2 linked regions of the Nothobranchius furzeri genome follow. The protein of the gene in region 1 interacts with the protein of each later gene in a pairwise test. Links are inferred from orthologs where the notes say so. Each region holds a gene or a part of one and is shown in the gene's direction. Other genes may lie near its edges. The genes, in order: ptpn9a and reep6.

What was found.
Region 2: the proteins of ptpn9a (region 1) and reep6 interact in binary tests that used the Homo sapiens proteins (3 or more experiments, as listed by UniProt). The two-hybrid records come from large-scale screens. The link is inferred for Nothobranchius furzeri from reciprocal best matches to the Homo sapiens genes PTPN9 and REEP6.

The regions. Positions count from the first base shown.
Region 1 is NC_091754.1:45,540,210-45,544,027, reverse strand, and holds part of ptpn9a (tyrosine-protein phosphatase non-receptor type 9), read left to right. Parts: intron 1-1,705; coding exon 1,706-1,830; intron 1,831-1,932; coding exon 1,933-2,038; intron 2,039-2,360; coding exon 2,361-2,471; intron 2,472-2,701; coding exon 2,702-3,018; intron 3,019-3,818. UniProt on the Homo sapiens protein: Protein-tyrosine phosphatase that could participate in the transfer of hydrophobic ligands or in functions of the Golgi apparatus.
Region 2 is NC_091748.1:78,702,089-78,706,638, reverse strand, and holds the start of reep6 (receptor expression-enhancing protein 6), read left to right. Parts: upstream 1-1,449; coding exon 1,450-1,582; intron 1,583-4,550. UniProt on the Homo sapiens protein: Required for correct function and survival of retinal photoreceptors. Required for retinal development.

The DNA.
Region 1 (3,818 bases):
GGAAATCGCAGACAGGTGGTCTGATATTTGTTCGATATGATTAACAATATTTCCTCCCTCAAAGCCCTTTTGGGATAAATTAACTCATCCACTGCCAGCCGTTTCCTGATTGCTAACGGCCTTCGCTGCCTTTCTCACCGTTTTTACTGTTTTTTTAAGAGTCACAGAACGTTGCGCGCTAGCATGATGTCGATGCCAAAACAACCTAAACAAAGAGGAGACTCACCTCTTACATCAGGAAGAAGCCGTGTGTTTTGAGCGTTATCCGTTCTTTCATAATCCGTTGTCGAATTGTGATCGGCAGACGCTTTTCCGTTTCGCGCCTCACTTTTTTTACAGGAACGGCCCAAAACGATCTCCAAACACATGGATGGTCTGCTTCCTGATCATGTGATCTGTGATGTAGGCGGATGAAGATCGGCTTCAGGGCTGGGATGTTTGTTCTATCAGCGCGGGGGCTCGTTCCAATGCTCAAACAGTAAAAAATGCAAATGACGACTTTAGTCGTCATTGGCAGTGAATGAGTTAACTGTTCCCCTTAGATAGTGTCTCATTTGATGTGCACTGTCTCATTTATTGACCCATCTCCAGACTTCTTTTTATCTCTAAAGTACTGGAGAAGGTAACTTACTCTCAGTTGACCGAGTATTTAATGGGAAATTACATATTGGAAAATTGCCAGTCTGGTTTTAAAGCTGTATTCCTTAATTTGGAAAACAAATTAGCTTCAAATGTTTTTTTTATGCCTCTTACCAACATGCTAATGTAGCATAGCTATAAAGATATTGTGGAGTTTTAAAAAATACCAGAAAAAAATTAATAAAGTGGTTCTTTCGGATTTGTCTAAAAACCTCAACCAATCGTTGTTTTCAGTCCGAAAAATTAGGTCAGAGGGTGAATTTGAAGGTTATTTAACATTTTTAACTTGTGTACCCTGGCTTTGAGTAGTCTTTTAGAAAAGCTTCCACACCAAGTTTTATAAATGAAGCCCCAGATCTTCTGTCCTTCATGAACCAATTCAAATAAATCTATTACTTTGAAGTGTCTTCATGGAAGACTAGATAAACTCTGGAAACCTAGGGAATTACTAGCTGATGGTGCTAGTACTCCACCCTCATTCAAACCTTTAATGAAGTAACTTAGTTTTATCATTTAGAATTCAAACCGTGGGTCAGGCTAGGTGTTACTTATCTGTGGGTGTTTCCTGTTCCAGAAAGATTTAGCTCTGTACCTCCCATCACATTTGCACGCACACGCGCGGTAGCATTGATGCTTCACATCCTGCCATCTGACGTTGGACTTCTCCAGCCTCAGCAGCAGGATTCATATCCTGTCTGAGAGTATTTTTAGCTCTGGTGCTGGACAACAGGGACGGGCTTATTTACTGACAAACGACAGTTCTGGTGTGTCTTTGCTCAGAGGTTCTGACTCTCAGGATCCTTGCAGCCATTCTTTAGCTCAGCTAAGCCATTGCAGCCCATGGCCTTTTTTGTGGAATATAATCATTCCTCCTGCTGAAGTAGTTCACGGTCCTTTATGTTTTCTACAAAAACTGGAAAATGAGCTGAAGCGCCCCCTTGTGTTAAATTTTCAGGCTTTTTCTTCCTGAACAGAAACAGAAGCTGCTATCACAGCTGATAAATTCGGTTTAATGGAGTCACACTGACAGCAGGGACACTGATGAAAGGACTTTGTGTCATTCCAGAGCGTGCGTGACCCTTCAGGGGCATCCATCGCTTTGTACACAGCTAAACTTCATCATCCCAACAAGACGGGCAACCACGTGGTGCTACAGGCCCTCTTCTATCTCCTGGACCGGGCTGTTGAAAGGTGCTCTTTAACTTAATGCTGTGTCATCACTCATGTATTCAAAGGTATTGTGGGAAGTCCTTCGGTCGAGTTTGGTTACTGTTGAAGGTTTGTGCTCCTCAGCTTTGAGACCCAGAGGAACGGCCTGGTGTTCATCTACGACATGGCTGGCTCCAACTACACTAACTTTGAGCTTGACCTGAGCAAGAAGATCCTCAACTTACTGAAGGTGTGAGTCAAGTTGTAGAAGGAAACAGAAGCAACAACACGACATTGGAGATGAGTTAGTGTTAGAAGCTGTGTGAGCTTCCTGGGCCGCTACCTCCATGTTTGCTCTTTTTAAAGGGTTGATAGTATATGTGCAGTCAGTCAGCAGCAGATGAACTGGTCTCAGTTCCTTCTGTAGATACAAGACGGCACCAAGCAGGACTTGTTTATGGTCTGTTTGTGTTTTAAGACGACGATGGACAGATAAGAAAATCAGATTGATGTGTTTCTCTCGTTCCTGGATTTCTGATGCTATGATGAGCTGTGTTGTTTGTGTCCACCAGGGGGCGTTCCCTGCCAGGCTGAAGAAGGTGCTGATTGTTGGGGCTCCTGTTTGGTTCCGGGTCCCCTACAACCTGCTAAGCCTGCTCCTCAAAGAAAAACTCAGAGAGAGGGTAAGGGGAGCTGCACATTCTCGTCACACACCTCTGACAGATGGCCTGGAGGTTAACACAAGAAGATATTCACATTCAGTGACATTTGGGTGAAGTCTACCTGGGTTATGGATCTTTAAAGGGGGCAGGGCTGAAGGCACATAGTTCCTGATGGAACTACACTAGGGTGTTCTTGTGCACAGCTTATCATGCAGCAACATTCAGTGTGAGCTGATGCTTTCTGATTCCAGGTCCAGATGGTGAAGATGGCAGAGCTGCGTCTGCACCTCCCCAGAGACTGCCTCCCCCAGCACCTCGGTGGCCTGCTGCCTCTGGACTCATTCAGCTGGAACCAGCAGCTTCTGGCGGGTCAGAACGGCAGAGTGGACCCTGTTGACGAGCTGGTGGGAATCCCCCTGGAAGACTCATCCATCCACGTCCCGGGACCAGAGTCCATGCGGCCCCAGGAACTGCTGGCTCACCTTGGTAGGCTTCAGCGTTCAGGCATCCACCTGGAGTACGAGGAGCTGCGTAGAGAGGCGCCGCCTGGTACCTTCCACTACGCTCAGTGGGTTCAGACGCACATAAGGCGCTTCACATTAGCGTCGGTACGGTCGGGGTTTGGTGGGGCTAATCCCTGAGCCCATGGGCCCTGCGTTTAATACACACGGAAAAGTCTGCGGTGTCCTCCATAATTCAATTCAGTTCAGTTTTATTTATATAGCGCCAAATCACGACAAGAGTCGTCTCAAGGCACTTCACATAATAAACATTCCAATCCAGGTCCGTTCATTAAGCCAATCAGAAATAATGTTTCCTATATAAGGAACCCAGCAAATTGCATTCAAGTCACTGACTAGTGTCAGAGTCTTTACATCAATCCTCATACTAAGCAAGCATTTAGCGACAGTGGAGAGGAAAACCCCCTTTTAACAGGAAGAAACCTCCAGAGGATCCTAAGGTAAACAAAGGCGGACATGAGCTGTGCTGCTTTTGGAGACTGAATCACCTTATTTTATTTATTCGCTGTGTGTGTCCTCATGATCTTGTACCACACACACACACACACTGCTTTCCCCTATGAGCAGCTGCCTGTCGGCTCGCTGGGGTGAGAGCTCCGATGCAGAGGACAGGCACACACACAGCTCTCCCGTTCCCACTGAGCGGCCACTCCCTGCTACAGACAGAGGACTTTATTTAACAGCATCCAGCATGAAAATGAATGAACACCCCCCCCCCATCCACCCCAGTAGTGTCTCCTCGGCTCCAGTCGGACCGCTGGGGAGGAGGTCTGAAAAAGAAGTTGCCTCGAACTGGAAAACGCATATCTGACCCATTTGTGAAACCAAATTCCGGTTCTGTACCCGG
Region 2 (4,550 bases), on another chromosome or scaffold:
CAGAAGCACATTTATAACCAGAAACGTGAAGTCGCCATCTTAAACAAACAGAGGAACAGACTTTTTGTGTGATATGCTTGTCAGCCACTAGATGGTGCCATCAGATAAGAGAAATACTCCGGAAAGAAGCTTCAACGCCGACTTTTGATCCAAACATCCTGTGGTGGAACGTTAAATGATAGTTGGTCACATGTATTCTGTAAATCATGTTACGTTGATGATGACAACTATACAGGCCATACAGAGAAATGTGATTACGTTCTTTTGTCACGTTTCCTATGAGCACACTAAAACTACAGCTGCTAACCTTTACTTATTGTTACAGTCATGTCTCCATAAGCACATGTCTACAACACATGATCTCCACACGCATGTGAGGATGTGTTTCAGTTGCTAACAGGCACCAGAGGGTTACGCAATTATGAACGCTAATGCGATTTCTTCAGCCATCGTCACCCGCAAGCTACATGTAGAGAAACCTGTCCCACTTAAACGCAGGCTTTTAGCCACTCCCACCGCTGCGTCCGTCTGCTCTCACCTGTTTTCCAGGCGAGGCGCCGCTCATCTCAAACAAGGCCATTCTCACATGCTTGTGAAGGCACCCGAATGTGCGAATGGGGATATGACTGTAACACATTATAAGTAAAAGTTACCAGCTGTAGTTCTAGTGTGCTCCAAAAAAAAAAAAAAAAATATATATATATATATATATATATATAAATAAAACCATTTAAGGTTTAAAAAAACCTACATGGCCCCTTGATGTTTTGTGTTGTTTCTGCACAACTGGCATTTAAGGGCACACTCTGCAGTTTTTCTTGCTTTTAGCACCCCCTAGTGTCCATTATTAATTATCTGTGGTCCAAAATGAAACCAATCTCCTCGCTGTGCCTTTTTCTTTTTAACACCCAAATCTAATAGCTGAAATGTCTCCCCAGCCTTCTTTAGTGTCTACAGGAGTGATTCATCACTAAATTAAACAAACAACTGTGTCCATGATCTAAAACAAACATGCTGGCAGCAGCACAACAGGCGGTGGCCCAGGACTCTGAGGTATCCTGGCCACAGAGGGCGGTGGGGTCTGAGTGACATTTCACTGTTTCAAGATGCTGATTCAAAAATATGAACAACTTTGCCTTTAGGATGAGTAAATCTGTTTTGTGTTTGATGGAGAATAAAAACGAGAAATGGAGAAAAGGCAAAGACTGAAACTTTAAACAACTATATAACCATAACATAATCATCGGGGGAAGTTTTAATGTTTCTATCTAAGAATGAGACTTTTGAATGAATGATTTTGGGATTAACGGATGCTCACGAGGCACCTCCTCCCTCACCGCTCCACCTCCTCATTACAACAGATTGTTGCTGTGAGAGGATTACTACCTGCCAGCTGCCGGTCCAGGATCCTTTCCTCTCTGCTTCTCTTTGAGGACGTTGTTGGAGACCATGGGACTGCTGGGTGTTCTCACCTCCATCAAGGACCGAGCAGAAAAGTTTCTGAACGAGAAGAACGTGGTGACGGATTTTCTGGGGAAGGTGGAGGAAAAGACGGGGATCAAGAAAAAGGTCCTGGCTGTGGGTATGTGAGGAAGCTCCTGCTGTGTTCAGGTGATGAAAGGTGTCCGTGGTTCTGGGTGGATTCTGTCCAGGTGTGACACAACGGTACCTGCCTGGACGAGTCCGAGAAAAGAGGATTCAGTTAATCCTCCTGTGAGGAGATGCAGCCAAAGCTTCTGTTTATTATTCTGCATAATCGGACTTTAAACTGCCTCCTCATCTCACTTTTATGTTCCTTTCAGTTGCATCTGATTTCCTGTTTGTTGGTTTTGGTTCAAACAGAAACCCTCTGAATTTGACATCGTTAGACGTTTCCTTTTGTTGATCCGCCTTCCCCCAGACCGTGTTCTGGTGAAGGTTCCCAGCAGGTCCTGGAGTTAAAGCGGCTGAAACTCTTTATTTTCCTACAACTCGGCTCTGAGTCCCATCCTGACACAGCTTCAGAAGTCCACATTTTAGTGGCTAATCTTTATCATGCACTTCCTGTTTTAAATCCCAAACTACGGGAGTGTCTTGTGAGCTGCTTTTCCTTTAAGGAGCTCTGGCTACAGCCCGTGCCCTACAACGTTCTGCTCAAACTTAGAAAACTCCTGGGATGACAAGCAAGATGAAGTCCTGCTGTCCTGAACATTTTTATTCATCTCTGGAGCCTCTCCTCCTGTTGATTCTTACTAAACATCTGTGAAATCTTCTGAACCCTGTCTACTAAGCAGAGTGCACTTGCAGGAAGTGTGCAGTAAGGCTTCGAGTGTGCGGTATACAAGTGTGCAAATAATCGCTGAACTGGAAAAGGGAGTGTTGCGTGATCGACCGCAATGCATGCAGGGATGCTGGTCACTGAGCTACTTTTTATAAAAACCTTTATTAACAACTTTCAAACAAACAACCAAACATCCATCCGTTTTCGGCCCGCTTATTCGGGGATGGGTCACGGGGGCAGTAGTCTAACTGGGAGGCCCACCCTTCCCTCTCCCCAGCTACTTGGGCCAGCTCCTCTGGGGGAATCCTGAGACGTTCCCTGGCCAGCAGAGAGACATAGTCCCTCCAGCGTGTCCTGGGTCTTCCTTTAGATCTCCTCCCAGTCGGACCTCACCAGGGAGGCGTCCAGAAGGCATCCTAAGCAGATGCCCGAGCCACCTTAACTGGCTCCTCTCGATCGAGAAGTTGGCTCTCTGTAACAACCAATTATTTAAGTAAATTTGTTTTGTCTAAAGCATTCAGAGCATCAAATAATTATCCTACAGTGAACTACTTTTTTATTTGACTGTGCTACCTTTTTTACTTTAGTGTCTGCCCTGGGATTGGGAGATGGGGGTTCAAATCCCAATCGGGTCATTCCAAAGACTTTTAAAAAATGGGACCCAATACCTCCCAGCTTGACACCATCGACATATATATATATATATATATATATATATATATATATAGTGGACGATTCCTGTACATAGGCTCGTATGAGAAGTTTTTAATTTGAAATGGGAGGTGGCCACCACCGCCATTTTGATTGTGTCACACGTCTCGTCGCGCCCAGACAATCCCATAAAAGGGAAAAGAGGTGGAGCTGAAGGTGGGGCTGTAAGGCTGGGATCAAATGATGACACCCGTCGAACAGTGATGTAGCTACAAGCTAAACCAAAGCCAACGCGGAGGGGGGAGCTAAGCTAACAGAGGTAGCTTCCTAGCAAACTGTGCACAACACCGGAGCTTCTGAGTCGGAGATGTGCCAGGCTGACCGCTGGGTAAAACCGGGTGGAACACAGAGGTTTCCAACCGAGAGCTCCACAAGCCGGCAGCCGCGCAGCAGACAGGCGCCGCTGCGATGCGCCGAGCTGCCGCTGAGGGGAGGGGACCATACCGATAGTGGGAACCCAGCTCCACCAACATGTTATATTTCAACCCATTTTCTAAAGTGCAGCATTATGTTAAATGCACTGGGTTTTACCCTATTACATTTAAATGTCATGGTTAAACAGTACATGTTAAAATCTAAGCTCAGCTCGGCAGTGACCTAAAATACATAAATATAATTTTACTTACCGAAAAAATGAAGTGGAGACTCCTTGGACGCTCTATTAGTGCAATTAATGCCACAGCAAGTCATTTTGTCCAACAATTGCACAAAAATATCCAAAAAAGAACACAAACGCTACAACTAATGGTCTAAGTTGAGAGACGGAAAATGACGGAACAGTTTTTAAGCGAGACCGAGGCTCTACTGAGGCCTTTCCACGGAGCTAGCTCTGTGGTCACGTGGGTCTGAGGCTCATTAATTATACAGAATTTTAGACTTTTAATACACTTAAACAGAAGAGTGAGAAAAACATTCACCCCCCTCAGAGTTGTCATGAGTGTAAACTAGATCATTTAAACCAAAAACATGTTCTGGTACCAGGCTGTAAACATACCATGCCAACGTTATTTCTATAGCACAGTTTAAGACACAGCGTGAGAGCTGACCGAAGTGCTGAACAGGCAGGATCAATTAAAACAAAAGTAAAAACAATAGGACGATAAAACACAACAATAAAAACTATAAAATCCTAATAGGATGACATGGATCACTGTCTAAAAGACAAGTCATAAAAGTAGGTTTTTAAACGACATTTAAAACAGGCAGAGAGGACGCCAGCCTGACTGTACTGGGCAGTGAGTCCTAGAGCATGGGGGCAGCATGGACAAACTCACGTTCACCTCGTGATTTGTAGGCCATCCGGGGAGTGCAAAGCAGTAGACGGTCAGCTGACCTCAACATACGAGTAGGTACATATGGAGTCAGCAGGTCGGACAGATATGGAGGAGCTAGGTCGTGTAGGGCTTTAAAAACAAACATCAATATCTTAAAATGCACACGAAATGTGATGGGGAGCCAGTGAAGATGTTCCAGGACTGGTGTAATATGGCTACAGTATGTCGACTCGTGTTTGTTAAAAACCTAGCAGCGGCATTTTGGACAACCTGCAACCGGTTCAGGGCAGAGACAGGAGTTCCAA